Linked DNA regions of Tamandua tetradactyla. The protein of the gene in region 3 purifies or fractionates together with the protein of the main gene of each other region. This does not show direct contact. Links are inferred from orthologs where the notes say so. Each region holds a gene or a part of one and is shown on either strand. Other genes may lie near its edges.

What was found. The genes of interacting proteins can lie anywhere in the genome.
Region 1: the proteins of OTUB1 (region 3) and FOXM1 purify together in Homo sapiens (affinity purification with western blotting; 4 studies listed by BioGRID, with this or other methods). This does not show direct contact. The link is inferred for Tamandua tetradactyla from reciprocal best matches to the Homo sapiens genes OTUB1 and FOXM1.
Region 2: the proteins of OTUB1 (region 3) and UBE2E3 purify together in Homo sapiens (affinity purification with mass spectrometry; 3 studies listed by BioGRID and IntAct, counting the BioPlex papers as one, with this or other methods). This does not show direct contact. The link is inferred for Tamandua tetradactyla from reciprocal best matches to the Homo sapiens genes OTUB1 and UBE2E3.

Annotation. Positions count from the first base shown.
Region 1 is NC_135333.1:65,019,587-65,029,626, reverse strand, and holds the start of FOXM1 (forkhead box protein M1), read left to right. Parts: upstream 1-5,488; 5' UTR 5,489-5,738; intron 5,739-7,583; 5' UTR 7,584-7,630; coding exon 7,631-8,132; intron 8,133-8,709; coding exon 8,710-8,861; intron 8,862-10,040. Other genes in the region: RHNO1 (RAD9, HUS1, RAD1-interacting nuclear orphan protein 1), read right to left, coding at 1-299, 1,368-1,535. UniProt on the Homo sapiens protein: Transcription factor regulating the expression of cell cycle genes essential for DNA replication and mitosis. Plays a role in the control of cell proliferation. Also plays a role in DNA break repair, participating in the DNA damage checkpoint response.
Region 2 is NC_135329.1:153,624,557-153,635,088, forward strand, and holds the start of UBE2E3 (ubiquitin-conjugating enzyme E2 E3), read left to right. Parts: upstream 1-5,980; 5' UTR 5,981-6,353; intron 6,354-6,611; exon of another isoform or gene 6,612-6,752; intron 6,753-6,790; exon of another isoform or gene 6,791-6,939; intron 6,940-7,383; 5' UTR 7,384-7,408; coding exon 7,409-7,602; intron 7,603-9,380; coding exon 9,381-9,431; intron 9,432-10,532. UniProt on the Homo sapiens protein: Accepts ubiquitin from the E1 complex and catalyzes its covalent attachment to other proteins. In vitro catalyzes 'Lys-11'- and 'Lys-48'-, as well as 'Lys-63'-linked polyubiquitination.
Region 3 is NC_135335.1:10,630,348-10,640,148, reverse strand, and holds the start of OTUB1 (ubiquitin thioesterase OTUB1), read left to right. Parts: upstream 1-5,896; 5' UTR 5,897-5,964; coding exon 5,965-6,022; intron 6,023-6,288; exon of another isoform or gene 6,289-6,606; intron 6,607-7,554; coding exon 7,555-7,616; intron 7,617-8,271; coding exon 8,272-8,370; intron 8,371-9,801. Other genes in the region: COX8A (cytochrome c oxidase subunit 8A, mitochondrial), read left to right, coding at 248-343. UniProt on the Homo sapiens protein: Hydrolase that can specifically remove 'Lys-48'-linked conjugated ubiquitin from proteins and plays an important regulatory role at the level of protein turnover by preventing degradation.

The DNA of each region.
Region 1 (10,040 bases), on a different chromosome or scaffold from region 3:
ATGAACACATAACCTGGACTTTGAAGTGCATGCACTGACAGTTCCCTACTACTTTGGGGGCTGAGCATTGGAACTAAGGGCCTTCCAGAAATGTCCTTTGCCAGTTGACTAGGGCCCTTCTTGCTTAAGGGGATCTCCAGTGTCACTGAACTGGAAGAAGACTGTGGACTCTCAAAGATTAGTTGTGGAAACTTGGAGGCGGCAGATTTGCGACTTGAATGTCTTGCCTGGTCTTGGTGATGACATTTCTGGTTGACTGGATACCAACTTTCTGCTGTCATGTCAAACTCAGGCAATATCTAAGGATTAAAAAAAAAAAGAGAAAGAAGTGAAGAGAACCAACTGCCAAGTACAAACTTGAAAGTACAAACCATAACCAGGAACTGACATCCAGTGACCAGAATCCTATACGGGGGCCGACTTTGGTAATAGAAATAGAAAAATAACAGTTGTCTAGTGGCATAGTAACAGAAAGGGATATGAGCTATGGTAAAAAAAAAAAAAAAAAAAAATCAATCTCTGGCTATTTCCTTATACTTAAGAAAGGAACAATGTCTCTTTGACTTCACACAATATGGCTGCAACTTTTAAAGTATCTTTATATTTCATGAGAGGAGGGACCAACAGCAGTCTTGTTCACATCACAGTCCCCAGAACCTAGTAGAGTGCCTCGCTCAGGAAATAATAAATGGCTGAATGCATGAATGAGGAACTGAGATCATGTATGTAAAACAATCAGCATAGGGTCTGGCACATAGTAAGTAGTCAATAAATATTCACTCTTATTTTCGTCCACAGAACTCTAAAATTTAAGTTTCTTCCACAATCCTCAAGTGAGTATTACAGTTCTTCCAAGCAGTCCTGGCCAAGTTTTATTTATTAGTCACTCTTAACTAAACAGAGCTTATGCTTTTGTCTAGCCCTTTTGTTATACTATTTCCATGCCATATAGTAGCTAATCCCTTATTCCAGAGCTTTTAAATAGTTAAATTATCACATATCCAATTTCTGTGCATTTTGTTTTTCAAAGTTCAATCCATTAAACAGTAAAGAGAATACCTGAGTACTCCACTTCTCATATGAAACTCAGGGAACAATATTCTTGTCATTTTTCTGGCTATTGGGTGGTGAAAGCTTTACACTGAACTCCTTTAGAGGAATGTAGGGGGAAAGGCAACAATTCTAACCAACCCATGTCTCAGTTTAAAACGAGAAAAAAAGAAGAGATGGCTGAAAACAGAAAGAATACAATGCTTCTTTGTCTTTTGCACCCCAAAAATCTTATTCTTTGGAGGTCCTTGTTCAATGGTTAGCATTCTGAGACACCTACTGGAGTAAAAGTCAAAATAAGAATCCTATGAACCTACCCAGGAAGTGATGGTGCTGTGATCAATAGGCTTGCTGGGCACCCGTTTAGTATGGGTGATGGGAAGCTGTGGGGATCCAGAGTGGTGTTTGGGGCCCTCCAGTGGTTGTTGCTGGAATAGCAGTGGAGCTTTCTGGGATCGTTGGCGGCGTTTTTTTCTGGGCGGCATCAACAGATGAATGCAGAACAGTTGGCAACCACATGATGCTGGTTGCAATCAGGTGGGGTGACAGGCTCCAATTCCAACCCATGCCTGTAGAGAAGAAACAAAAGCTGGGAGAAAATAATCCAGATAATTCTGTAGCTCTTCCTGATACCCAGGCAACCTATTGCAACAAAAACTACCACCTCAAAGTCATAGGGACCAAGCTTCCTACACCTATAACAGCAAGCAAAAATACAATGATTCATATTCAACAACATTAATTCAATAAAAATTTATTAAGCACATGTTAATAAACATTTATTGAACACATGTTAAGTACCATACAGGGTGTTGGGAGCCATTTATTCAAGACGCATTTGACTACCAAACACTTGTAGAGCAATATAGAGATCCCTGTTTTCAAGGAGCTGAGAGGCTGCTGAGAGGAAACAGACAACTACCAAACAATATGAGAAAAATGTGTCTCCTCTCTTCAGGGCATGGAAAGGCTAGGAGAAGCAACGAAGCAGGGAGAGCACTCCCAGGGAGAAGAGCACATACAAAGGCCGAGAAACATCAGTATACCAGTATGGGTGGATTCAGCATATGAAAAGCCAAGTGGTAAGAATTGAGGCTAGACATGGTGTCAGATTAGAAAAATCAAGTGTGCCGTGAGTTTGAACTTTAGCCTGAAAAGTCAATGAAGATTTTCAAGCAGAAGGATATGATCATATTTGGCTTTTTTTAAAACCCCAGATAATTCTGAACATACACAGAAGTAGATTGAATAGTACAATGAGCCCAGATATAGCCATCACCAAAGTCTAATAACCAACCATCAACCCACCACAAACCTTGACCCATCTGCAACCCTCTCCCCTAACCCTTATATTATTTTAAAATAAATATGATCTGAATCATCATTATTCCCATTAACACAAAATATATAAGAACATATTAATTCTTTAATATCATCAAATATGCAGACGTCCTGACAGCATTCACATTTCCAATTGTCACATAAATGTCATAATTGGTTTTTGTTTGTCATTTATGACATATCCTGGCAACAAGCAGTATGAAAGGGAAAACAGTGAAAAGAAAAAGGACAAAGCCCCTACCCTGAAGGAACTAACATTTTAGGGAGAACTAAGGAAATAAACACATCCATTTGTTTATTCATTCATTCATTCACTCAATATTTAGCAATGGGTGATGGGAAACTGTGGAGATCCAGCCAGACACTGTTCCAGGTGCTAGAGATATAAACCAGAGAACAAAATAAAATCCCTGCCCTCATGGCGCTACCTAGTGAGGAAGCTATGAGAGGGATGGAGAAAAATCAAATAGGACAAGGGTTTGAGCCTTCTAAGTGTTATTTTAGACAGGGTTGACAAGGAAGGCCTATCTAAATAAGGTGACACTTGAGGAAAGACCTGAAAGAAGAAAGGAGGACAAGCAAGCAATGGAGAAACGTGAGCAAAGGATATTCCAGACTGAGAGAGCAGTTAAGTGTGAAGACCCCAAAGTAAGAAACAGTAAGGTCAGTGAGGTTGGAGATGAGGTAGTAGGAAGTTGACACAAGGTTTTGTAGGCAAGATTAAGGACTGCGGAGTTTATTCTTTGGTGGGAAGCCACTGAATGGTTTTGGACAGGAAAGTGACATAATGTGATTTACTGTTTTGATAACTCTAGGAGCTTTGTGAGAAAAGCTGGGTTGGCAAGAGGGGGTGGAGAGAGAAGCAGAGTCCAGTTAGAGGGCTACTGCTAGAGTCTAGTGAAGATGACAGTAGTAGCGATGGTTGCCTGAGAAGTGCTGAAACTACTGTCTTGATGAAAGTCACCAGCCTAAAATGGGCTCACCACGTTGCTCAGCAATCTACTGTGTTTCTCTAATCAACTCATTCCCTACAAATATCATCTTAAAACTTCCATTTTCTCAAAACTTCTGAACTCCCCTTCCCTCTCAACAGATGACTTTACTTTCTACTTCACCTATCCTCTTCCTTTCAGCAGTTACTCAAGGTGTACTGTCAGTCCCTTCTGCTGTCTAAGGCCTTTCTCATTCTACACTTTCTCAGGCAATGTCATTCACTTACTTTTCAATTGTCACCTAGAAGTAGATGACTTAAATATTTATATGTTCAGTTTAGACTCTCTAAACTCAGGTTCCATAGTTCCCACTGCCTACTGTCTCAAATACACCTCAAACTCATGCTTAAAACTGAACTCATTATTCTCTTCCCCATGCCTCCACTCCCACCCCCACCCCCACCCCCTCACCCCCATAAAAACGACTTATCTTCCGGGGCCCTAGAGTCATTGTTCATCCAGTTTTGCAGCCAGAAAGGTTGACACTTCCTCTTCCTTCGCTTTGCCAACCAACACCAAGCCCTGTCAATATTATCTCTTAAACATATCTTCAATACTGCCTTTCACACACTCTCTCTACCATCCTTCTTCAAGTGCTAACAATTCCAGCTTGGAGAATTGAAATAATTTTAAATAGTCTACCCTAATCCAGTGAAATAATTTTAGTCTACCCTAATCCATTCTGGCTCCCCTCCAGCAGCACCTTTTAAAACTGCAAATCTGACCATGTACTTTTGCTTAAAACTTGTGATTGGCTTCCTTTAGTTCAGGACAAAACTCCTCAGAATGGATAAGCCCCTGCTTCCTCTGGCTCCAGCTTCACCTCACACCCACACTCCATTCAGGTCTCTTAGCTCAAACTCCTCAGGTATTTTTGTACTCAGAATGCTTCTTCCTGACACATGGCCTTTGTACATAGTATTACTCCCTCGGCTTACAGGGCTTCCCTCCTTTCTTTGCCCAAATGTCAAGCTTCATTTAGAAAAATCTTTCCTGGCCTACCTAAGATCTCTTTATTACAGATTCTCCAAGTATCATTTACTGCTATGTATCACTTCATAGGTACACTTCTACATTTATGTGATTATTTGAAAATGCCTAGACCTTCTCCCCACATACACACTCCCATTGGTCTGTAAATTCAAGGGAAGGAAAGAACAATGCTGTCATCATACCCCAAAGGCCTATCACAGTGCCTGACACACAGTAGATGCTCAACAGCTATTTGTTATTAAGTGAAGAAATAAAGCACTTTATTATACCAAGAAACTTGGCTTTGGGAAGGGATGAGGGGATGAGACAGGTCAGTAGTAGATGAAGAGCTGAGGTACGGTTTATGGTGTGTGTATTTTTTTACCATTGGGTATGTTTTTAGTTTTGGAAACATATTCACAAAACATAAAATTTGCCATTTTAACCCTTTTTAAGTACACAATTCAGTGACGTTAATTACTTTTACGACTTTGTGCTACTATCACCACCTTCCATTACTAAAACCTTTTCATTTCTCCAAACAGAAATGTATTTTTTTCCTAAGATGGAATAAAAATGAACAAGATTACATGCCACCCTCAAAGAACTCTCGGGCTAGTCGCGGGAAGTACACGATTGTTAATTGTACGCAAATGGACTACAATGTCCCCCAATAAGGAAATCAGACCTTTGTAAAACAGACCAAGTATCATTTACTGCTATGTATCACTTCATAGGTACACTTTACAAATGGGAGGCAAACCTTGAGGGGAGCAGAGGGGAGAGGGGCGTCACCTGGGGCGATTTGGGGCGAGGGCGGGAGAGGCCAGCCGAAAGGCCGCTGAGGGGGCCGCGTCCCGGCCACCGCCGCTTCCCCGCGGTTCCGCCGCGTCCCAGCCCAACGCGGGAACCCCGCTTTTGCTCTCTCTCAGCCCCTCACCGTGAGTCACCCCTCGGGCGGACAGCCCTCTCCGCTCGAGCCGCCCCAGCCCAGCCTTACCCGCCCGGCTGCTCCCGGCCGCCGATCCTCTCAGGCGACCGGTCCTCTCCGGCCGCGGACGCGTTCGAGCCCGGAACGCGGAGACAAGAACCGGCGCCGATTGGCGACGCTCCGTCACGTGACCACAACGCTCCGCCGGCGCCAATTTCAAACAGCGGAACAAACTGAAAGCTCCGGTGCCGGACCCCACCCCCGGCTCCCGGCCCGGGACCCCCTCCCCTCCCGGGATCCCCCGGGATTCCCTACCCCTCCCGCACCGCCGGGGACCCGGCCGCCCTGGCGCGAGTCCCCGTCAGGGAGCCTGGCTCAGCCCCCAGGTTGGAGGAGCCCGGAACCCGCCCTAGGAGCCAGACTCCTGTAGTAGCTGCAGCTGCAGTCCCGAGGTGAGCAGGGGCGGAGGAATGGAGCTTGCAGAGGCGGGAGCGAGGTCTCCGGCGCGGCTCCCGCGAGTCCTCCGGGTCAGGAGGTCAGGGGGGCTAGCAGCAGGGCGCGGGACAGGAGTGGATGTTTGGGGACACCCGAGGAGGAGGTCGGAGCGAGAGTGCAAACTTTTTCTGCATCCAACCTCCTGCCCTTGGCCTTCCCTGGACGTTTGACCTCTGCACCCTGCCCACGGACTCGGGAGGGCCGGGGTGGTTCACGTTCTCAGCGGGGACCGTCGGTAAGGCTGAAGACTGAGCTTTTTCTGCATTAAGTGAAAGACCAACTCTCACGCACATTCCCCTGCTCTCCAGGCGCTCTCAGCACCAGGCAGCGCTGCCGGTACCCTACCCTTTTGCAGAGCCCTTTCTCCTGGGTCTTAAGAACCTAGCAAGGTTTCCTTGGTCAGGGTGGGGGTGGGATCAGAGGGGTCATTTGGGAAGTCTCCCAGGATGGAGTGTTGTCAGCAAAAATAGAGGCTGGTCAGGGAACAGGAGAGAAAATTAAGTCTTGGACCGGGAAGAAGATGGGGGGTGAAGGGGAGATATAATATCTACTGATTGATAGGGGGAGGGAGGAGGCCTAGAGTCTTAAGGGGAAAGTAAAACTGAGATTTGAAGGCTGAGGAAGCCTAGATCTGAAGGAAGGGGAGGAGACAGGATGGGGAGGGCCTGTGAATTCTAAGCAAATGTAATATGTCATCAAGTGTGGCACTACTTTTTAGGGAGATAGCAGATGACCTAAAAAAGAGACTGTCAATTCCTCTGCCTTTTAAAATACCTCAAAATAGAATTATACAATTTTATATAATGGAACACTATTCCTTGTAGCTATTAAAATCAACAAAGCAAAATGTCACCTTATGTGTGAAACTAAAGCAAAAAATGTTTGTTACAAAAAAAAAATCAATAAAGCACTTTTTTTTTTTTTTTAGATAAAACTACTTTCCATAGTATTATAGAACCACCATATTAAATTAGTGATAACATATTCTAGGTGTCAGGAGTCAAGGGTTATAGTTTTGGTTCTGGAAGAGAAATTACGCAATAAGATGACATGCTTCTGAAAGCTAAAATATGGATAAGCACATGAGGTGCTAAAATGCTCTTATGCAAATATTTTGCAAATGGAGAAAGAAAAGTATTTCTTTTTTTATGAGAACACAGACAATGTGTTATAGCCCATGAAATGAATGTACAATTTGCACAATTTTACCATGGGCCTTGAATAAGCAGCTTCCCTTTTATCTGAGGTATTGTGAATGGGAAGATGATTCTGGTGTTACGGTGGCATAGTGCAATGTATAGTATACCTTTCTCCCCTAATTCTGTGGGCACCGATCCTATTACTTACAAAGGAAGGTGGCATAAAGATATAAAGGCTCTGCCCTAGAATGGATTATGGGATGAGTCAGAGTTCCTAATTACTATATATCCTCCTATTCTGGCATCTTCCATTCTATTATTGCAGGCAATAATAGAGATTTCCTCCTGTTTGTAGCTGTCCCACTTATTTATGGGGCCAAGAATTCTTAAGCTTCCAGGAGGTGATCTTTGGCTATTTCAGACTAAATCCAACTTAGTCCTACTGAATTGTTCAGTCCTTTTGAATTTGCTTCTGTGTCCTTCAGTTTTAGCTTTCTTTTGTCAGTGGCACTTCTGTCCCTACTATCATTGGTGAGTCCAAAAGGTCCAGGAAGCTTTCATTTTCATACCTCTGGTTGCATGAAGAGGAGCACCTCTCTATAAGAGAACCTCCTTTTCAGCTTAACAGATCTCTGACATCCTACTGCTTCTTGTACATTTTAGGGTCCCTGCTTGTGATTCTCAATGGAGAGTAAAAGCACAGATTAATAATGAAAACCAGCCCCCGTCGGCCACTGATTCTCAAAAGACGGAGGCTGCCCCTTTCTGTTCAAAATGCCCCAGGTGAAACTTCGGAGGAGGAACCCAAGAGGCCCCCTGCCCAGCACGAGCCTGATCAACCACAGGCCTCCAAGGAGGTGGGAGAACCCTACTCTTGCAAGTTTCCAGCAGGGATCAAGATCATTAACCACCCCACTATGCCCAACACCCAAGTGGTAGCCATCCCTAACAATGCCAACATCCAGAGCATCATTACAGCATTGACTGCCAAAGGGAAAGAGAGTGGCAGCAACGGGCCCAACAAATTCATCCTTATCAGCTGTGGGGGACCTCCTACCGACCCACCAGGATCCCAGCCTCCTGCCCAAACCAGCAATGATGCCAAGAGAACAGAAGTGATAACTGAGACCCTGGGACCAAAGCCTGCAGCGAGGGACATGAATCTTCCTAGACCATCGGCAGCCCTTCCTGGGCAGAGATGGGAGAGCTATGGTATGTGGGCTACAAGGCAGAGGGGTGAGGAGTTCAGTCTTTCCTATCTGGTGACAAGACCCGCAGTCAGCCACATTGGTACAACCGACAAGCATCCAGCCTGAATTGTGAAAGCTTATCATTATCCTAAAACCTTGACCTGAGTCCTTTGGGCTCTGTTGAAAGGGCTGCAATTATAATTTAGCATTTTTATTACCATCTTCATATTTGAAAAGGATTTGCTTATTATTTCTATTTATTCTTTCCATTGATCCTATAAGTGACAATCTTTCTCCATCTTAATAAAAGAGAAAATTGAAGCACAAGTAGGAAAAATGACTTTCCTTGTGCAATACTCAGTAACTCTTTTGCATGGTTGCCTTCACTAACCTCTTAGGCTCAGTTTGGCTCAGATTGAAATGCAATTTGAACTATGCTCCTGGGGCACAGTAAGTGAGAGCCATGTTTGATTCAACATGCATTCCCCATCTCTAAGGGTACAAATCTTGGATGGGTGATCCCTAACCACCAATACTGGTGAGCTTCTCAGGAGTCTGGTCAGACAGCTAAGTGGAGTCTTGGATTGTTTCCTCTCTAGCTGCCGGTGAGGCCATTGGCTGCCCTCTCGACAACAGCTTGACTAATATCCAGTGGCTTGGAAAGATGAGTTCTGATGGACTGGGCTCCTGCAGCATCAAACAAGAAATGGAGGAAAAGGAGAATCGTCCCCTGGAGCAGAGTCAGATTAAGGTGAACTGCTCTATGCTCTAGGCCACTCAGTAAGGAAGTTAAAGCCAGTGCAGGGAATTTCTAGGAAGGGGAAATGGATCCAGCAGCCTGCTGGAGCAGAAAATCCAAGTTCTGGTATCAGCCTCCATTTAGTGCCATTCTGTATAACTGTTGAGCTTCTTTTCGCTCTGGGATCTTTTTTTTCATCTTTGAAAATTCCTTGAGGTCAGAGATCCTCTGGCTTACTCTGTAGCTTCATCAGCACTAGGTAACTAAACCCTTAGTAGGTATTCAGAAAACAATTAGGAGGTCTTGGTTTAAACTTTAAAGAGTTAGTCCAACAGTATGAAAGGAATGTAATATCTCTAACAAGATAGTTTTATTGGAAGATATAATATAGGTGGCGGATAAAGTGAATTAGATATGAGTTTGATATGTTCCCCATCAGTCAAAATTTATTTGACCCAATTGTATGATTGGAGGTTGTTTTTCACAGCTGCCAACATCATACATCTAGATTCTGTTACTTATACCCTTTAATTATTCATTCAACACTGTTTAAAAATGAAAGCTTACAAATATGTATACACACTAAAAATTAGCCAAGCTGTGCACTTGAGATTAGTACACTGTATAAAGTTACGTCTCAATTTTTTTTAAAGTGAATCATCAGATGTTTGCCTAAGACGTCACCAAATATGTGCTTGTCTGTGCCAGAGTCTTGGGACCATGTCTCTTATACAAATATTGAAATGAAGTGGGTTTATTCATGTCACATCAGGAGTAGAAATGGGACTAAGATCTAGGTCTCTTGACTCCCAGGTCTGAAAAGTTGGTATTTTTTTTGCATAAAATCAATGCTTTGAGAATAATAGTACATATCCACACTCTCCAGAGAGGTTTCAACTGGAAGAAACTGGACCTTAGCTTGTTATTGAACATTATCTTCAGCAAGATGGATGACAGAGAAGTAGTTCAAGTGCTGGCTAGGAAGTAGAGTAAGTCATCTCCAAGATCGCTCCTCATCCTAAAATGTTATCCTATAGAATAGTGGTCTCAGAGGAGTTGTTTCCAGGACAATTCTATGGGATAAAAGATTACTCTAAGGGGTTTTGGGAGGGAGTGGTGGGCAGGGGAGGAGTTCCCATGAACCCTTCCCTATATTCCCTTTTCTCCTTCTCTTTGGCTGCTCATAACCCT
Region 2 (10,532 bases), on a different chromosome or scaffold from region 3:
CATGCAAACTATGGTAAATATTATAAAAAATAGATAGGGTGTTATGAGCTATAACAGGTTTACCAAATTTATATTGCAATGTCAGAGAAAGTTTCTCTCATGCTTATGAACAAGGGTGTGAAAAAACTGTTAGGTTTGTGAGAACTTTTTGACAATACCCTTTATGACATCTCTATAGGAGCTGGTGCTTTGGGAAACTGGACTACATGCCCTGGTGGCTATGACAGTATAGTGGATTGGGGGCAGAATCCCCAAGTTCTGCCTCCAGTTCTGTCAATAACTATCTTTAAGACTTTAGGGAAGTCATTTAGAGTTTCTTAGCCTCAATTTCCTTGGTTAAAACGTCTAGTGCTTCAATATCCTTTCTTTGGGTTACAAGTACTGCTACAAAGTGGTCATTACCTTATGAACCCAAGTCAGAGACATCCTACTCTGCCACTACTGAGTATGTATTTGTATTGAAAACTACTTATCATTATTTTTTTACCCAGTCACATAGCTCTGTGAGTTCTTTTGAGATGTTATAATTCAGAGAAGTTAAAATCATATGTACTTTGACATTTTATCAATGTCAAATTATAAATTTTATAAATTATGACAAGCTTCTAAAACAGACCCATGAAAAGCTAAAGATAACTAACTCTCAACGTAGAAACATACCCATTTTTTTAAATTTGCCTTCTTTAGTCATTAAGGTATTCAATTGGAATGTAAACTTAGATAACCATTTGTGCAATATAGAAAAAGTAGCCAGAATCATAAGTAAACTTGTACTTTAACCCAAAATCATTCTACTTGTATATTTCTTCCAAATCTCTTATATTTATTCCAAAAAAACATATTGTGCAAACAATTTTGTTTTCTAAGCAGAAGCATATGCTTAACCTAATTTTATTTGAGGTGCTGTAAAGCATCTCAGAAAAATTTAAATGATATAATGTTAAGTAAAAATAGTTAAAAAGGTGATGTTCAATTTCTTTTTTTAGTCTTATTAACTAAGCAGAGCATAAGTGGATCTTATAGAGAAGGATTTACCACTGAACAGGGATTGGTGATAAAAATGATTGTTACAACATTCACCATTTTATGTTCATATATCATATTCCATCAAGTGAAAAGACTATAATTTACTAAAGCATAACCCTTATGTTGGACAGTTAGAATGGTTTCCATTTTTACGTGGTATAAATAACATTGGGATAAACACTGTCAAGCACATGGCATTCTTTAATATTTTGGAATATTTCCTTAGGATAGATTCCCAGAAGTGGAATTACTAGGTCAAAGGTTATGAACATTTTTATGACTCTTGAAACATATTGCCAAATTGCTTTCCAAAAAGGTTATATTCATTTACAATGCCACCAGTGATATAGAAAAGTGCCCATCTCATGATCTTCTCACAGGTATTTGGCATTATACAGTTCTTAGATTTTCAAATTTTGTGAGCAAAATGTAGTATGTCATTATAATGCAAAGATGAATACCTTTTCTACGTACAGTTCAGTTGTGTTCAATTTCCAACCTATATCTATAGGTTTGATATTTTTATAAGGTATCTATAATGGTTTGATATTTTTATAAGGCTACACAGAATTATATGTGATACATATATTTTCACTGTACAAACAGTTTTGTCTAGTGTGTGTTCCAACTTAGGGTGTGTGTGTGTACGAATGTTGGGAAGCATAGCCGATTTTTGTACCTGGTTAAATACATGTTTTCTTCTATGGCTTTTTTTCTGCTGCTTTTTAGCATAGGCTATCACAAACTCTCTCTATTGATTTTAAGAACTCAATCATATTTATTCTAATAAAATTTTAAAAATCTTAAAAAAAAAAAACGATTTGTTTTTACCAAATCTACATCTCTACATTTATTCACATATTTTTTTCTGTGTTATCAAAACAGAACCTGCTCATTAATGAAAAATATGAAAATACTGAATATAAAAAGAAAAAAAAGGTTATTCATGGTCCCTCTAAAATATAAGCATAGTTATCATTTTGGAATATTTTCCTTTCAGACATTTTTTGTTTTGCTAATTTTAACGATATAGTGTTTATTCACTCAATAAATATTTATCGAGCACTTACTTTGTGCCAAATTCATTGAGCCAGCATCTGACTTTACAATAATGAAAATGCACAAATTCTACTCTCACTGACGTGTTATAGTCCATTTTTTATGACTATTGCATGCTTCTCATATGTATTATTTCCTTAATTGCAAATTTTATTGCGTGGGTGAATCTGTTTGTTTAATCCTTTTCCTATAGAGGGACATTTACAGATTTTCAATGTTATTTTTTTCACATTCAGATACATTTCTAGTAATGGAATAACTTGGTTAAAGTTTAAGGCTCTTGGCAAAAATTTCCAAATTGCTTTTCAAGAGGGTTGGACAAGGGCTATTTTTTGCCAGCAATTATTACGATCATTAGAAATTGTTTTTGCTGTTTTGTTAAGTACGTCATTTTAATTTACATTCTCTGATAATATGTAAGGCTGAATTTTTTTTACAATGTTAAATAAATGCATCTCTTTTTGAAATTTTTCTGTTCATGCCTTTTTCCCTATTAAGGTGCTCTTGTTTTTGTTTCAGTGTATCAAGTTCTATATGGAATGAAGATATGACCCCTTTTTGGTATCTACCCTCCCTCAGGAGAAAAGCAGAAAATGATAACTGAATCCAAGAAGTCAAACTGAGGCTTATGCATCTGTATAACTCCAGGGCTCAGCCCAATGCCTGGCATGTGACAGGCTTTCCACACATGACACAGTAAAGGAATACTAGATGTCAAGCCGCACTTTGAACTCTGGTGTCCAGAGACACTGAGACAAACATTGGCAAAAATGGCTTTTTAAACTAAGACTGGGCCAAGAACTGCCTTTCTAGTAAACCAACCCAGTTTTTATGTGTAGAAAGAAAAATGTTGCAGTCAGAGGACAAAAGAATACAAGTACTAGGGAAGCAACGGAAATGGCCTAAAAAAAGAAGGGGGTAATATAAAAGGATATTAAGGAAAGTTACTGAGTGGCAGGAATAAATAAAAACATTCTGAAATTTAAAAAATAATATTTATTCCACATTCATTGTGTAAGGTCTGTTGCTGCCCATGGCAAGCGATTTTAAAAAGATCTGTAGCTCCATCCTAGCTTACACAGTCACTTAGTTGAGAAACTTCTTAGACAACTCAAATTATGTATTTCTGTATATTTTCTGTAGACACACATATACATGCTTCAATGTATGTAAAACTCCGAGATCTACTGAAAGTCTCAGGAGAAAGCATCTCCTAAACTCCTAAAGGATTCTGGAGTCTGCCTTGTCCAGAACCCAGCCTACCTTTATAATAAGGACAGGTGCCTTTGGTTACACATTCGGTGGGAAAAGGGAGAGTAGGTAGTTGTGGCAATATCTGTTAGTATTGTCTGTTACCTCTGCCCCTCTTTTCAGGTTTGTGATGGAGAGACTGGCAAGATTCCATTCCAACACAGGAGACTGAGAAAAAACAACTTTCTTGTGTGGCTGGTATCCACATTGTCTGGCTATTTTGAGGACCTTATGAGAAATTTTTAATTATATGCTTTATGAAATAATTTGCATTAGGTCAAATTTGTATGCCCTCAGGAATGCGTATAATCATGATCCCCAATTTTAAGGATTGACACTGCAAAAACAAGAGAGAGCTAAAATAATTACAGAACAGGGTGTCCTTTGAGGAAGAAGATCACTTTAGAAACTACTTCTAATTGATGAGATGCTTCTGGTCAAGGTGGTGATGTCATGCTACCTTGGAGTAGTGCTGTGATTTGTAAAGAACCACTTGAATTTACCCTGTTAGGGCAATGAAGGCAATTGGGCACCATTTATCAATATCAATATCCACTATGGTGGATTCCATATTTCATTCCATTTTCCCATCATTTAGTAGTTGAATAAATGTTGAGTGGAACTTTCATCATGAGTCCAAACTGACTGAAGAATTATGGCATTTTCCAGCAAAAGTGGACTTAGAACCTTTGATACAATCTTCTTTTATATATGAGAAAAAGTAAATTGGAACAAGTAACTTGCTTGAGGTCACACAAACTATTAAGGATTAGAATCCGGTTCCTTTGCTTGGAGCCCAATATTATTTCTTCTGTAAAAGATGCCACCAAACACAGCTAAACATCTTTATCTCCCGATCTCCCTGCCCCACCCAAATCCGATCAGCAATTGGCCCTTTGGCTTGAAAGCTATTTCTGTAATAGTAAATTTCCTGAAAGAACCAATTTTTAACATATAATTTTCCTTTAACATCTCTCCATTCTGAACAGAGCAAAGCCCAAATGCCAAATGGGCTGGCTTATGCTATAGAGTCACATAGGGTAAAAGTTGGGGGCAACCTTCTGTCTATATTTTCATTAATAAATTGCACCCTTCGATCCAGCCGAATTGAAATGCTCGTCCATACACACGCCATGTTCTTTCTTGAGACCTGTTGCTCATCCTAACTGGAATAGGAATATCTTTCCTTCTTAATAACCTAGTAAGTTTTAATAATCCATTCCTCTTCTGAATTGAGAACTAGCACAGAGGAGAGGAATCTGGCTTTAATCCCACACAAAATAAGTGAGTGTATTTGGTATGTCCAGCACCTGGTACAAATCCCTCAACAAAGTTCATGGAATGACTGTGTCTTTGGAAAATTACAGAAATGTAACTTTACAGGTCAGAGTTGTAAGTATCCCTTTATCAAAACTTTTCTATTTAGAAGAAAAATGAGTAAAAATGTTGGCTCATGCAGTCTTTTTTTTTTCGTTTCTTTTCCTTCTAATTCCTGTTCTTCTGCTATGACTGCCATTCTCTCTGTGAACTCCACATTCTCCCAGCACTCGGGCCCCTGGAAACTTGTGGGAGAGGAATCCGCAAATTCCTTTAGGGCTCCATCACTGGAACAAGTTCTCAGTAGCTAGAGGAGGTCTGGGCTGCAAACAGGAAGTTTTTGTACTTTTGGCTAGTTTGTGCTTAGGGTAAAAACAGAAAAGTCCACCTGGAGACTCTGTAAGACAGAAGTGTAGAATAAAACTAGACTCTACTATTCCCACTACTTCTCTCAGTGTGGACATTCTGATCCAGTCTGTTTCCAGAACTGGTCTCTGGTATGCAAGTCAGAACAGCTTAGCAGCAAAGTGTCAGGTTTGAGCCCTCAAACTCTCCTCCCCACCTTTCTAAAATGTTGAGCAGGATATCTGAAAACTGTTTTGAATTTTTAACTTTTCAAAGCATCCGAAGGTCAGTTTCCTTTGAGTGCGACAACTGCGGGCTTGGGGGTCAAAGAGAAGCAGAGGCTGGTCCCCCAGTCTCGCAATACTTTCTTCCCCACTAACGTCCCCGATCCCATCCTGCCCCTGCCCCTAACGAGGGAGAGAAGGCAGCTATCTTCTGCCTGTCCCAGGCCTCATCACCACCACCCGGAGTCTTCCAGTGCTGAGGGGGGCGGCAGGGGACTCCCTGCCACGCGTCTAGGGCCCTTGCACAGGGGTTGGGGCCCAAGGGTCCACGTCGGCCCCTGAGCAGGCAGAGGAGACAGATCCAGCCTAGGGATGACCACGGCTTTCCCGCCCCTAAGGTACCCTCGCCCCGGGTAGCCCAATGGGCAGCCTCGCCCCGGAGGCAGGCGCAGGCCGGAAGCCACCCCGCGGCTCAGCGGCCCCGCGAGACGGCGCCCGCGCCCCCGCCCTCTCTGGCGCGGACTCAGCGGACTCTGCCGACAGGGGCCAACCCGCCGGGTCCCCGCCGCGCTCTTTGTCCTGGCCGCGCGCGGGCGGACGCGTGCGCCCCCCGGGTGAAGTGAGGCGCGAGAGAAGGCGCGGGAGCGCGCAGGAGCAGCTCGCGCCCGTGGGGCGCCGGGGGCGCGCGCTCCTCCGCCAGGCAAGCAGCGAGCACGCGCGCCGCCGCCGCCCCTCCCCCCTGCTCGGCTCGGAACTTGCTGACTGCGCCGCCGGGAGGAGCTGAGCCGGGCGGCTGCGGCGGGAGGCCACAGCGCGCGGGGGTCTCCCGCGTCCCCTCCGCCTCGTCGGGAGCTCGCGCCCTCGCCCCGCGGAGCTCCCAACACCCCCCCTCCCCTTTTTTTTCCCCGAAGGCGCTGGGCGGCGCCACCCTCCGGCCGGAGCCCGGCACTGCACAACCCCCTCCGACTTTCAATGTTCCACACTCCCCGGCCAGAGCCTCCTCGGCTTCTTTTTTTCCCTCCCCCCTTTCCCCCCCCCCTCGGCTGCCTCCATTTCCTTAAGGAAGGGTTTTTTTCTCTCTCCCTCCCCCACACCGTAGCGGCGCGCGAGCGGGCCGGGCGGGCGGCCGAGGTAAGGCGTGGGGGCCCGGGGGCCGCGTGCGGGGCGGCCGGGGCGGCGGCGGTGGGGGAGGGGGCGGGGGCGGGCAGCTTTGTTCGCGCCGGGCGCCCGCGCCGCCGGTGTCCGCGAGCCGCGGCGGGGACGGCCGGCTGCTCGCATCACTTGGCGCCCGGCGCGGCGAGCGCTGCCCGCGGCCCCCGCGCGGCCCTCCCCACAAAGGGCCGCGGAGCTGCGTGGCCGCCGCCACCGGCCGCGGCTCGCCTCCGCGGGCGCGGAAATTTGTTGCACTTCTTGGGGCTTTGTTTGTTTGTTTTCTTCAGATTTTTTTCTCTCGCTATTTTGGACAAAATGTCCGTCCGTGATGTAAAAATTGAGCGAGGTACCGTGGTGGCATTGGGAGCTTTGCAGAAGGTGGTTTGGATTCTGCTTTTCCCAGGGTGTCAGCTCGGTTTTGGCCGGATGAATCTTTGCTGCTGGCCGTGGAAACGGCTAGAGTAGCTTGTTAGTTGATTTTTAAATTTCTAAGTGTTGTGATTAAAGGCTTACACACACACAAGAGGAATCGCCACGTTAAATAAGCATATGGGCGATTAACAGGGTATGTTTTCCTTTCAGAAAGGGAATTTGGTAGCTTTGACCAATATCACTGTGTAAATATTTAGACGTTATTAGTGACTTTTTAACATTTTTCAGCGCGATCTGTTATTTACAGTGTGTCATGTGTTATTAATGCTCGTTGCCTAAGTTCCCTGGCAAATCTGTTTCATGCCTTCTGAGAAAGTAGACAATTGATAAATTGTCCAAGGGATGGAAAAAAATGTGAGTGGGTTTTTCAACTTGAGTTCGGTAAAAAATCCTTGAACGCTGGCGTTGTGAGACATACCAATTCCCCTGTAACCTTGCTGTACGATGAGATGTGTGAACATTTTTGAAGCTTTTTTCATTAAGTTACTATTTTAGGTGAATATTAAGAAAAGAAAATGCTAGTGGTTTATTCTTAGACTTAACATTTCCCCTTTTTTTCTCTCTCTCTCCTTAAAAGTTTTCCAAGAAATAACTTCACCAAGATGTCCAGTGACAGGCAAAGGTCCGATGATGAGAGTCCCAGCACCAGCAGTGGTAGTTCAGATGCGGACCAGCGAGATCCAGCCGCTCCAGAGCCTGAAGAACAAGAAGAAAGAAAACCTTCTGCTACTCAGCAGAAGAAAAACACCAAACTCTCTAGCAAAACCACTGCTAAGTTATCCACTAGTGCTAAAAGGTAATGTGTAAAAGAAGAATTAAGCACATTGTCAGGTTGTCTTCCAAATGATTGGACACTTCCATTGGTTTTTACATCAGCAGCAGTAGTTCAAAAACATTTACTTCATGATCAGTTTTATTTGCACTTGACACTTGAATGAGCCACCTATACTTTAGGTGGTATATAAACTACCTCCCTCAAATTGTACTTCTTAAGCAAACTTGGTCTGCATTTTGGTAACTTCAGACAGTGTTTCTTAGTAGAGCTTGGATGAACATCCTGACAGACTTTTTAAAGAATTTGTGAAGGTTAATTTGGTGAACCCAAATTAGATGGTGCACTGGGAGTGTTTCGTTTTTGTGAGTCATACTTGTCATGAAATGGACACTAAAAATCAGCATGAACTTAAGTGCTCAGAATTATCACATCTGCTAAAAAACTTTTACATTCAAGGCCTTGGCTGTGTGCTAAAGCGGATTTAAAATTGTCCTACAGATCTGTCTTAAGTTTTATAAACCAGATTTTAAACTATGCATCCCAGATATTACTTTTTATAGTCAAGTTATGATTGTCCCTCTGTTCTTGTGAGGACAAGTAAAACTTGAAAAGCAGCCATTTACAATTTTAGGTGTCACTTGGCTAACAGTGGAAGTTTTCAATAGCCAGATTTTCATCATCCTTTTGACTGGTTACTCTAAAGTGTATAGATATGCTTGACACGTTAATGCTCAGCAGCAGGAGAAGCATTTTGTTGGTTCCAAGTGAGAGGTCATTTGTTCATGTTGATTGATATTATCTGTGATGGACAAAAAAATATTTTGTTAATGGGATTCCATTAGTGATGGTAATTGAATACCCAGGAATTTTAGTAAATATGTGTACAGAGATACATCAGATGTATCTATAGCATTAGCTATTTTGACATTTTGTTGATCACAACTAAAGTGCAAAGAAAATAGAAAAACTGATCAAATATTTCATTCTGTAGTGATTCAGAAATACTCTTTTCTGTAGATTTTTACTATCTTCTATCAATCAGGTATTAATAACAAGAATTCTTTTATTAGATGATAGCAGACTTTGAAGAATTCAATTGTAGTCTTGTTGAACATGTTAAACAAATCTTGTTTTGAAAGCATGTAAAATTTGAATAAAATGAGAGAACTGCTTTTTATCTCCTTAATTCAAGGCTACATAGTATAACTTATTTTCCTTGAAATATTTTAAATTTCAGCACTTTTTTAAGATTAGGGAAACATGCAATTAAATAAGATTGCTAAAGAGCCCTTTGGAAGTTTTTCACTGATGAAAATATTTGTAAATTTTAAACTTTTTTTAGCAGATAAAATATCATCAAAACTACTTCCATGTTCTTAAAATAGCATGTTAATTCTTACCTCAATAAAACTGACTCGAAGTCATTGTCAAATATTCTAGTGCTTTCCCTCCTCCCTTCTTGCCTCATTTGCATATAAGCTTGTAAAGAGAATTTCTTTAGTAAAAAGTGTTTTGAAATAGATTTTATATCCTTTACTGAGTACTAGTGGGGGACTATTTCCCAAATCAGGTTTAAATGTTTTACTTATTTACAGTAGCAAGTGAGAAAAAAAGCTGCAAAGTTTCTGTTAAGGGATTTGGGTTATGCCTCTGAGAACAAAGAGGAAGCAGCCATGTTAGCATTACTGAAGGCAAAGCCAGCCTTGCATTTAACTGCATGGTGGTAGAGGGCAGTGTAATTCCCTGGTTATTCTGTAGACTACCTCAATGCTTTTTGTCTGTTCTCATTTCACCAACAGAATTCAGAAGGAGCTAGCTGAAATAACCCTTGATCCTCCTCCTAACTGCAGGTAAGAAGCACATTTTGTTGTTTTGATTTCAAATTGTGAACAAAATATCAAGAGATTTCACGTATTGTCTGGGTATGTGTGCACCGGTAAGAGGCAGCATTTGCTTCTTTCCAGATTTGCAAGTGGATTAAACAAAACTTATCAAAGGTGAATTCAGTAAATTTGCGAGAAAAAAGTATTTTTTAGCATGTATGAGAGACATTTTTGTGTTTTGAATGTACTGATTTTGTATTTCTCGCTGAGATTATTATGAATAGTACTGATTTTTGTTCTGCAGAATACAGATTACTTTTGTAGAACGTTATATTCAGAGTTATATTGCAAAAACTTAAAACATTTGTTAAGCTTTAAATTTAGTGCTTGTATGCAATCTGATCTGACCTTCCAAATTTAGAAATTGCTAAATGTGATGTTATAAAATGTAAATGCAGTAAATAAGAGTATAGTTGTTTCTTTTTTATTTATTCAGTGACTTGCCTTGAGGACAAATTTTATGTGCTAAGCTAATGGATTTGTTGTTTTCTAGATACTGCACTACTGTAATTATTTACATTTTAAGCAAATGTCCTAAGTACTTGTGAACATTCTTAGTAATTTTGGTAGTAGAAAAATGGGTATGAAAAACAGTAAAGAATAGGAATTTGTGGTAAGAATTAATTTCAGCTGTACTTAGGGAGACCATATTAAAAATGTTGATTTGTATAAGATGCATTAAAAGTAACGTGTTTGGCAATTTTTAGGCCATCTTGGGTAGTGCTATGTTTGTTTTTTTAACAGTGCTTCCAAAATTCGTCAAGTGTAGAAAAATAATCTTGTAATAGTTTGCATAGAGATATGGGCTCAAGAATGAGAGTGGCTGTTAGAAATGTGGCAGTGTTGTGGTTGACATGAAAATGTTCTAGTGAGTTACCTATATTTTTTGCTACAAGTTGTGTTCTCTTGTGATTGTCAGACCTATATCTGAAGAGTATTTGAGATATATAGTAGGGTAATTTGATTGTTTCTTATTGTGTGTATTAACTGGATCCTCAGATATGGAAATTTGATCGTGGTTTATCTAGTGAATTAATGCTTCTCCTCATATTTGTAATCACACCATTT
Region 3 (9,801 bases):
CAGGCTGCCTTTTCTGCCCTTCCTTCCTGTCACTTTCTCCTCTCAAATATTTGAACTTGGGACCTAGAGTGGGTCTTGATCTGCTATATCCCCCCTCAGAAGCGTGGTTGCCTTTACCATGGGGGCATTGGAACTCTCGGCTGGTTCTCTGAGGGAGTGCTTTCAGCTACCTGGGAAGGCTCCTTGGACTTCTGAGAGCTTCGGGGGATTCCTTACTCTGGGGGTTCCTCTTTTGTGCTCTGTGCAGGATAATGCCATTGGGCTCATCTCCTGTTTCCTGTGTTTCTTCGTGCCGTCGGGCTGGGTCCTGTCACACCTGGAGAACTACAAGAAGCGGGAGTGAAGGGGGCCATCCTCTCCTCATCCTGTGACCTGACCACCCCCCTGCCCATTCTGATCCTGTCTCCTGCATTCCTGGCTGACCTTCCCTGGATCATATCATGTCCTTCAGTTGCAGTGGCCTCTTCTGCAACCACGACCTCTCAATGTCTCCATGGGGACATCTGGGACCATATATATATCAGTTTAGAAGGCCCTGCTTGGTGGGGTCCCCGATTGTAACAATAAAGTCTATTTAAACCTTGCTTCAGAAACTTCTCTTGCCTTCTGTCTGGGCTCCTGCCTCCAGACTTGCGCTGAGGATGGTGTTGGGTGGGGGTGCGTCTGCCCCGTGTCTGTCGTGTGCGCCCCAGTCATTCTCCCTGCTGCCTGGAAGTGGTGCCTGCTTTTGCACGCTTCCCATCAATTAAACGTTTTCTGGCATTTGTCATAGGGCGACCTTTCTTGTTGATCTTCTTGTTCATCCTCTCTAGCCCTCTTTGTTGGTACTCAAGAATCAATGGCAGTATCTTGCTTTTGTTTTAATGTCAGCTCCAGGGTCCCTTTCCTTTTAGTGCTGTCGCCATAAATGCTATGGACTGACTGGTCTTCATTGTCCTCCCTGCCTGCTTCCCTTTTCCTTCCCCTCCTTGGCTTGGGGAGTTTGCTGCTTCTTCATCCCCAGAGACGCTTCCTCAGTGATTCTTACTGAGTGGTTTCTAGGGGTCTGGGGGTGCCTCCTTAGCTAGGATGGTGCATGTGAAGTACTCCTAGCTGAGCTGGATTCCTGGCCACCAGTGTCCAGAAGGAACCCTCAGATTGCCAGGCCCCACCCCTGGTAGAGGACAGGTTTTAGCTCTCCTTTGCATCCTCTTTGTAGGGGTGACTTGGTTGGTTTCTGAACAGAGATTCTTTGTCCTGTGACACTTAAGGCTGCTAGACAGCGGGGGCCAGGACAGCAGACAAATTTGGCAGGTGAGAGCTGCCAAACATGGTTTAGGACATGGTTAGCTCCAGGCCTTGGGTGTCAGAATACATGTCTTCCTACTTCCTTTTCTGCAGAGGTCTTGCCCCTGCTATGTGTCAACAGAGCTGCATATGGACCTTGCTTACCTTCCCTTTGTCCAATCTCTCCTGGCCTCTGTGTGGTACCCAGTGGTGAAGCCTCTGGGACCCAGGGATGCCCTTGAGACCCAGTGCCTAGTATTGTGGCAAGTCCAGCTCCTGCCTAGCTCTGCTTCTCTGAGGGTAAGGAGCTGGTCCTCCGCCTCCTAGGTGACTTCAGTCTTCATACAAACAGACCTCTATTTCGGAGGCTGAATGGACAGGGCCTAGTTGGAGGAGAGGTGAGAGACTGCTTGAGGCAGGAAGGGGGCTGGATGCTGGGAGGTGTGCACAGGTTGGAAGGTTGGTCAGTGTAGAGGGAAAGCCTGTGTTGAGTCTGGGGCAGGCTGAGCCTGGCTGGGCCTGAGCTTGAGGTATCTCCCTGCCACCTGCAGGGTCCTTCTGCAGCTCCCTTGTCTCTGGGGAAAGGAGCCACCTCACACCTGCCTCCCAGACTACAGGGTACCCTTTGTTCTATGCTTCACTCTGGGGGGCTTGCCTGTTCATGTTAGCCCCTGAGTGCCCCCTGCCCTTCTTCCCATGCTTGACCCTGGCCTGGCAGCCCCTGGCTGTCAAGGGGTGGGGGGTGGGGACCACCATGCCCAAGCCTCCACTTTTGGAGCAGAGGCCCCTGAACTTGGCCCTGGGTTGGCCCAGGGTTGTTTTACTCAGGCTGTGGGCACAGATCAAGCATTGCTCTCACAGCCATGGGGCTGCCACAGCAAGAATGTGAAACCAGGAGAGGAATGTGTCTTGAATTTCTATGGTAAATTCATTGCCCTCCTGGCCAAGCCACATAGTTCTTCTGAGCTTCAGTTTTCATGACTGTAAAATGAAGATAGTATGGTTGGCAGAAAAGTGTGGCACCCCCACCCGAAAATGTCCATGCCCTAATCCCCAGATTTTGAAATGGGGAGATTATCCTGGATTATCTGGGTGAGCCAATCTAATCACACAAGTCCTTTAAAGTGGAAGAGGAGGCCTGAAGACTGGGTCAGAGATGTGATCTGAGAGGGACATGACCCACCACTGCTGATTTTGAAGATGGAGGAATGCCCTGCCTCCAGAAGCTGGGAACAGCCCTGAGCTGACAGCCAGCAAGAAAAGGAGCGCTGCAAGGAACTGAATTCTGCCACCAACCTGACGACCAGGAAGCGGATTCTCCCCTAGGGTCTCCATAAAGAAACACAGCCTGCCAACACCTTGATTTTCGTCCAATGAGACCCATATCTCACTTCTGACCTCCAGAAGAGTAAGGTAATAAATTTGTGTAGTTTTAAGCCACTAGGTGTGTGGTGACTTGTTACAGCAACGACCAGGAAATGAACTCATCTTTCTCCTGGTGCCCTGAGGCTCCTGCACAGAGACCCCCCATGGAGACTCAGCAGGTGGTCATGTGAACTGGAATGTAAGACACTGAGATGGGTGTCCCAGCAAGGAGTTTGGGTAGGGGCCTCTCCCTTTGCTGCCTCTGCCCCTCCTCTGTTTCCTGCCTCTGCCACCTTGGATCTGGCAGGATAGCCTCACAGCCCAGCGGCGGCCCCAAAGTACACAGCCTGCTCAGCCTCATCATCCCGGCCTCTGCAGCCATCACACCCTCCCTAGGCTGTGATTTGGGGGCCGTCTGCCATGTGAACAATCGCGAGTCCCTGCAGCAGCAGCTCCAGAGGTTCGTCTGTAGGCTGGGCATGTCCCCACTCCAGCTGTCCGAGCAGCGTGTGACTCCCACGCCTGCCCTGGCGAGGACTGCCTAGCCCCTTACCCTTTGAGGCTTTCTCCTAGCCACGGCCTTCCTGTGAGGACTGTGGCCGTCCTAGAGTCCATGGTGTCTCTGGGTGCCTTGGTCCCCCCAGCTTGGCCCCTCTCCTGGGAGGGGGAAGAGGTGGGATGGGTCTGGAAGCCATGTGACTCTGTGCCATCCTGTAAACTCCTTTGTGGCTGGGTCCCCAGATGGGATGTGGAGGGGTCTCCCTCTTCCCAGCCTTGCTCTCAGGCACGGATGCTTCGAGCTCCTCCCCTCTCCTCGGGGACTTTGAGGTAGCCTCCTAGGACATCAGGGCAGGGCCCTCTGTCCTACACCATAGGCATGCCTATGTAGGTACAGTGGAAAATAAAGTCCTTGGCTGCAGCCTGTCAGCTTTGTGACCATACCCGACAGCAGGCTGAACCCAAGCCCCAGCACTGCCTGTTTCATTCAGTACATACCCTCAGCAGCCATGGCCAGCAACATTTGACCATTTCTGGATTGGCACTTTGGGAGGCAGAATAGACTCCTGGAGCTGTGTCAGTGACTCCTGGCAGATCTGCCGTTGGGTTTCAGATTCTTGAGGATAGAGAATCAATAGCCTAAAACATGGTAAAAGTTACAGGGGAGTTGGGGTGGGTGTAAGAGAACAGTTCTTAACCACCAAATAAATTGGCACTGGGCAAAAGTTGACAGTCTTGGGGCTGGATGAAAAAACCAAAACTTTTCTCTGGCCATTTTCTTTCCATTCTGCCTGACAAGGAGGGGGAGGGCTGGGGAGTAGATGGGAGAGAGGACCCTCATTTATGGGCCCTTTGTACATTGAGGGTGTGTGTCCGTTCTTCAAGCCCCAGGCCCACAGGGGTGGGAAGGAGGCTTTAACTTGTACTGGCAGCCTGGCTGCACGCCAGCCCTGAGCCGCAGCTGGGAATCCTTTTCACTCTTCAAAGCAGCTGTGGTCCAGGTGCCCACAATTAGTCCCAGCCCCACTCCTACCCCTGTGGACTCCATCATCAAGGTAAGGGAGAGGGAAGGTTGTCTTATTACTCTTTTCAAGATTTTAAAAGAGCCAAATAGAAATCATGTTTTTTCATCAAGCATCTTTGCTCTTATTTTGTTAATACTGCTTTCTCTTCTGATCTACAGGTCTGATAGGCAGTTACATATTCCATGGTTCAAACAGTGAAAAGGCATTGACAGATGATAGGCATGGGATCCAAATAGAGTGGACCTTCTGCTTTCTTGACTTTGGAAGCAATCCCCAAGGCCCAATTAATAAACAGTAATTTATGATGTTGCTGGGACACACATTTGGCATTTGAAACACAGCTGTGAGAAGGACACGGTTGGGCTGGGTAAGCAGTGAGCCAGGCACCAAAGGCACCTCCTCCAAGGCCAGCCATCATTCAGGAAATCTTTAGTTACATTCCACTACTGTAATCCATGGATCTACGGATCTGACTGGGACTGAGGCCTCCTTGAGCACTAAAAGACCACTGTCACTCCCCTTGGTAGTGAAAAGTTAGGAACCAGAGCCCCAGATTGCAACCTTTCTAAATAAGAGCATCTTCAGCATTCAAGGCCTTGCTTATTTACTTATTTATTTTTTCATTCAGGAGGTTTATTGGGCACACAGGAACAGTGTAGGTAAGGAAGTGAAGGGAACAGGATGGGGTAGAGAGAGAAACTGAACTGGAATATAATTGAAACAGGCCTTAGTACCATGGGGAGCTCTGAAGCGGGGATAGGCCTTCAGAGAGATCCTAAAATGAGGCCAGGGGACCAGGTCTTCAATCACTATCACAGGGCAGGTATCAGGAGGCAGGATCATGGGGGAGCAAATTCCTTCCCTGGAGGGCAATGCTGGGGAGGGACTCAGCTGTGCACCTCCAGCATTGCCTTATTTTGAAATTTTGAAATAATTCACAGGCTATTGTAAGAAATAAGACAAGAAGATCTCATGTACCCTTTACCCCCACTGGTAACATCTTGTATCTTGCAAAACTATAGTATAGGATATACCAGGATATTTTTCTGATACAGTTAAGGAAGGGAACATTCCCATCTTCACAAAGATCCTTCCAGTTCCTTTTTGTAGCCACACCCACTTCCCTCCCGCCCCCTCCCCCCTCCTTAACCACTGGCCATTAATTTGTTCTCCAAACTTTGCCTTTAAAACGACCTTGTTTTCTCTCCAACCGGAAAGGTACGGGAGCCCTAAATTAGGTCCCCGGGCTCTGGCCTCGATACCAAGGGCCGAGAGCAGGACACCAAAGCCGGCATAGAAAGGGAGGCGCGGTGAGGGGCAGACACACCGCTGACGTCCTGGGGCTCTGAGGGGCGTCCCAGGATTAGCGTGACTTCCCATCTCCCCGTCCACATGCTCCCTCTGCAGCTACAATCGCATGCTGGCACCCGCAGTAGGAATCTCGTCTTCAGTGATTTAAATGTCATCTTCTTCCTTATCTCAGTAACAGTCCGCGTTTCAAACTCCAGTGAAAAGCAAACTGAATTGGTTCCAGGAGGCTCTTATCACCATCGGAAACTTAGCCTGGGAAAGATGGTACAAGCAAACATACGGGGTGGCGGTACGGGCAGGAGGCGGTCTTTCTTTTGCAGGGCTTCGGGCCTGCACGCCTGCGGTTGCCACGCAGGACCTGGACGCCATCACTTGACAACGCCCGAAGGGACCTCGTTGCTAGGAGTGTTGCCAAGGAGGGGCTACCGAGAGAGGCTCACTTCCGGGAGGAGGGCGATAGATAACCCGGAAGCGGTCGCCAGTGCGGCGCTGTTTAAAGATGGCGGCGGAGGAGCCTCAGCAGCAGAAGCAGGAGCCGCTGGGCAGCGACTCTGAAGGTAACGACGGAGGGAAGGATGTCCGTCCCGAGCCGGCGGGGGCAACCGTGGGCCAGCCGTTCCCGAGTAGGTCGGAGCGGATGAGGCCGCCGCTGGCCGGGGGCGGAGCGCGCAGATTGCCCCCTTCTGTGCTGCCCTCCCCCCTCCCCTTCACAATGGAAGAAGCCGCTGCTGCGACCCCCGGGTGGGCGGGCGGGTCAGGCCAGCGGCCCTTCCCCGTCACGCAACCCGGGGCGGGGCCTCCGCCGCCCCGCCCCCGCCCCTCCCCCTCCCCCCGCGGCGGGCCTCAACTGTACACTGCCTGAGCCCTCCCGCCCAGGTCTTGGCCGTCCGGCAGAGGCCTAGGACCGGCGGAGCCGCCCGCCTTCTTCTAAGGCAGCCTACGCGGCCCGGAGGGTGTCAGGTTATCCCGGGGAGGGCTGAGCTGCAGAGCCCAAAGGACCAGGCGGGAACCTGGGGTTGGAAGGGCCTGCCGCGGTGTCTGTCTCTTAGGGCCCCGACCTTCGTTTTCTGCAGAGACCCTTTTCTGGCTTTGTAGCCTCCTGCCGCCTGCCAAGGCATTGTTTTCTCCGACTCCTGAGGAGGTGGGGGCAGCATTTCGCACCTCTCCCTTTCCCTTTTCCACCTAGGAGTTGGGCTCTGGGAACTGAGTAGCCAGCTCACTTGGATGGGAGGGCAGCAGTGTTGCAGGCCAGTGACCAGCTGAGAATGCATAATGGTCAGGCCCCAGAGGGGCCCCCAAGTCATTCAGCAGGCACACGCCCATCCTAACCAAACACTTGAGAGACTGAGAAGAAGAAATTCAGGTCTGCTGGCTCCACAGAGTGGGGTCCACAGGATGGACCTGCCCAACTTGATCACACTTAACGGGAACTTCTGAGGTCCCATGTACTCCTTATGACAATTCAGTGAGGGGAGAAGGTGGTGGTATTAGCCCCATTTTACAGGTGAGGCAGTTGATTCTGCAGTGAGGTAATGGGGTCATTCTGGTGAAGAAATCAGACTTTGGGAATTAAACCTGGGTTTGACCAACACAGGTTTTTACTAGTTGTGATCTTGGGCAGGTTACTTCACCCCTCTGCATCTGTTTTGTTATCTGTAAAATGGGCACTGTTAAAGCTACTCAGGCTGCAGAAGGGGGAAGGGTGTGACCAGGTAGAATGCAGGCTCATAAGAAGCAGTAATCTAGCCTCAGACTCTGCCTCCTTCTCCCATTTTACTTTCCCCAAGAGACCGTGTCTGGCCCCAAGAGCATTCTCATGCTGCAGGGAAGTGATGTTAGAAATTAGAGAGGGAGGGGGTGCCAGGTCTGGACAAACTAACCTTGAGAACAATCAGTTCTGTCTTATTTTAAAGATGAGACTGGGGCCCAGGAGGAGAAGCAGCATCACCAATGTTATAATAGGACAGAGTTGGAGTGGAGCAGGGTGTAAGAAGCATGCCTCTATACTTCAGGCTTCTCCTCCTCCTCTGGCCCCAGCTGTCCAGAGTGGAGGTGGCCAAGACCCACTGTAATCTTTTTTTTCTTCCAGGTGTGAACTGTCTGGCCTATGATGAAGCCATTATGGCTCAGCAGGACCGCATTCAGCAAGAGGTGAGGGTCTGTGAGGCAGTGGCCCTTTGTGCCCCTTTGCGTGAATGCCCAGGCTGGGCACGGTTTTAATTTCCTGCTGCTGAAACAAATACCAGCCAGTGGGTTGGCGTAACAACAGGAATTTATTGGCTCATCATTTCAGATCCTAGAAAGTTTGCTTCCTCCCGGGTCAGTATCTTCTGGCTGGCCGGCAGTCTTGGGTTCATGGCAGTACACATGGTGGCATCTTCTCCTTCCTCTTCTGGGTTCTGTTGACTTGTAGCTTCTGGCCGTTTCTTCTGGTTTCTCTTTTTGTGGCCTCTCTATAAGGCTTCTAGTAATAGGATTAAGACCCATCCTCTTTCAGTGGGCTCCACCTTGACTAAAGAAACCTGATCAAAAGTTCCTGTTGACAATGGGTTCACTCCCACAGGGGTGGATTAAGAATGCAAACATGTTTTTCTGGGGGTACACAGCTCCAGGCCACCACAGGTCTGTTGTCTGTCTCCACTTGGAAGCTCTCTTCTCTTCATGTTGTGCTAGGTCTTAGGTGGTTATGGAGGTTACTATGCCATTGGGTGACCAGCCAGCACCCTTTGTTTAGGTGCCCTGGCTGTTAGGCATGGATCCCCTCCACCTGACTGCCAGAGCTTGATGGATTTCCCACCCCCTGCAGATTGCTGTGCAAAACCCTCTGGTCTCAGAGCGCCTGGAGCTCTCGGTCCTATATAAGGAGTATGCCGAGGATGACAACATCTATCAACAGAAGATCAAGGTGGGGGCTGCCCAGAGGGAGCAACAAGAACACTGGGGCTGGGGGCTGGAGGGTGGTTCCTCCAGACTGTGCCTTGCTGGCCCTGGCTCCTGAGAGGGTACGGTTTTAGAGGAGACCTCTGGTTGCTTTTTCTTAAGTGGCAGGGTCTGGTATAAAAAGATGTCGGTTCAAATCCTGACTCTGCACTCAGCAGCTGTATCCTTGGCAAATCCTTTAATGTTTCTGAGCTCAGGGGTCCTTGTCTATAAAATAGGGACAATGAAAGCACCTGCCCACAAAATAGTTGTGTGAGGTTTAAGGGAGATGCTAATCGTGTGGTGCCCACCAGGCCAGGGATGGGGTGGGACACACAGGGTGTGGTAGCAGGGGTGTATTCCACAGCCTACCTCCTGGATCTTAATGGAGAGGCAGGCAGCAGGGGGAGAGGGGGCCCACAGACCTTTGTCCAAGGCCCTGCTGCATTATTTACAAACTGAAGGAAGTCACTTAAACTCTCAGCTCCTTTATCAAGAAGCTCTTAAATGTGACAATGGGACTATATGTAAACAGTATCCAGTAGGCACAGAATAGGGCTTAATGAAAGTTACTTCTCCCACTGCCACCCCCAAAATCGGAGATGCTTAGAATATCCCACCAGGAAGGAGGGACCTTCAGATTATCCATTTTGGGGACCAGGCAGGTAACCAGAAGATTTGGGGTGGTGAACACCGGGCATCACAGCCTCAGTAGCAGCCAGACAGAGTGAAGGCCGCTGGGGCAAACTGGAATGTTCTCACCTGCCTTTCTGTCGTTGCCAGATCTGTTTTCAAAGAGAAGCCAGAAATAATGATTTTTATGTGAAATCTTCTGACTTCTAACAGTGGGCAACTAATTCTAATTTAAAATGGTGTGTGGGTAAAACACACCATGCAGGTAAAATATACCTGCAGACGGGAGCCAGCCGAATGTGCCTCTGATCCTCTTGAATCCCTTGCTCAGAGTGTGTGTGACGTACCCGGGAGGCTTATGGAGAGGTGGAGGCCCTGGCCTTGAAGCTGGACAGGCCTGGGTGTGAGCTTGGGCAGACACAGACCTTGCAGCCGCGGTGGTTCTCTTATCTCTGGGTGGAGAGGTCTTTTCCCTCACAGGGCTGGTGTGAAGCTTGAGGGCGATGGTGGTGGTCCTGGCAATGGTGAGTTCAGTGTCCGGCGCACAGCCATGGCTCAATTCAGCTGTGGGTTACCCCCTTCCCCGTGTGATGGGTCGGTGGCATGAGACCCCCATTTCAAGGCCTACCCATCACACTAGACCCACCGCCCCTGGCAGGGTGGGCCTCTCAGACGCCTCCCATTGGTTCACTCACAGCATGTTTGATTCTCCACTGCGTGTTGGTGTGGGAAAGCTGCCTTGGTGCTGCCCACATCCCCGCTGCATGTGCTGGGTCTGAGCCCA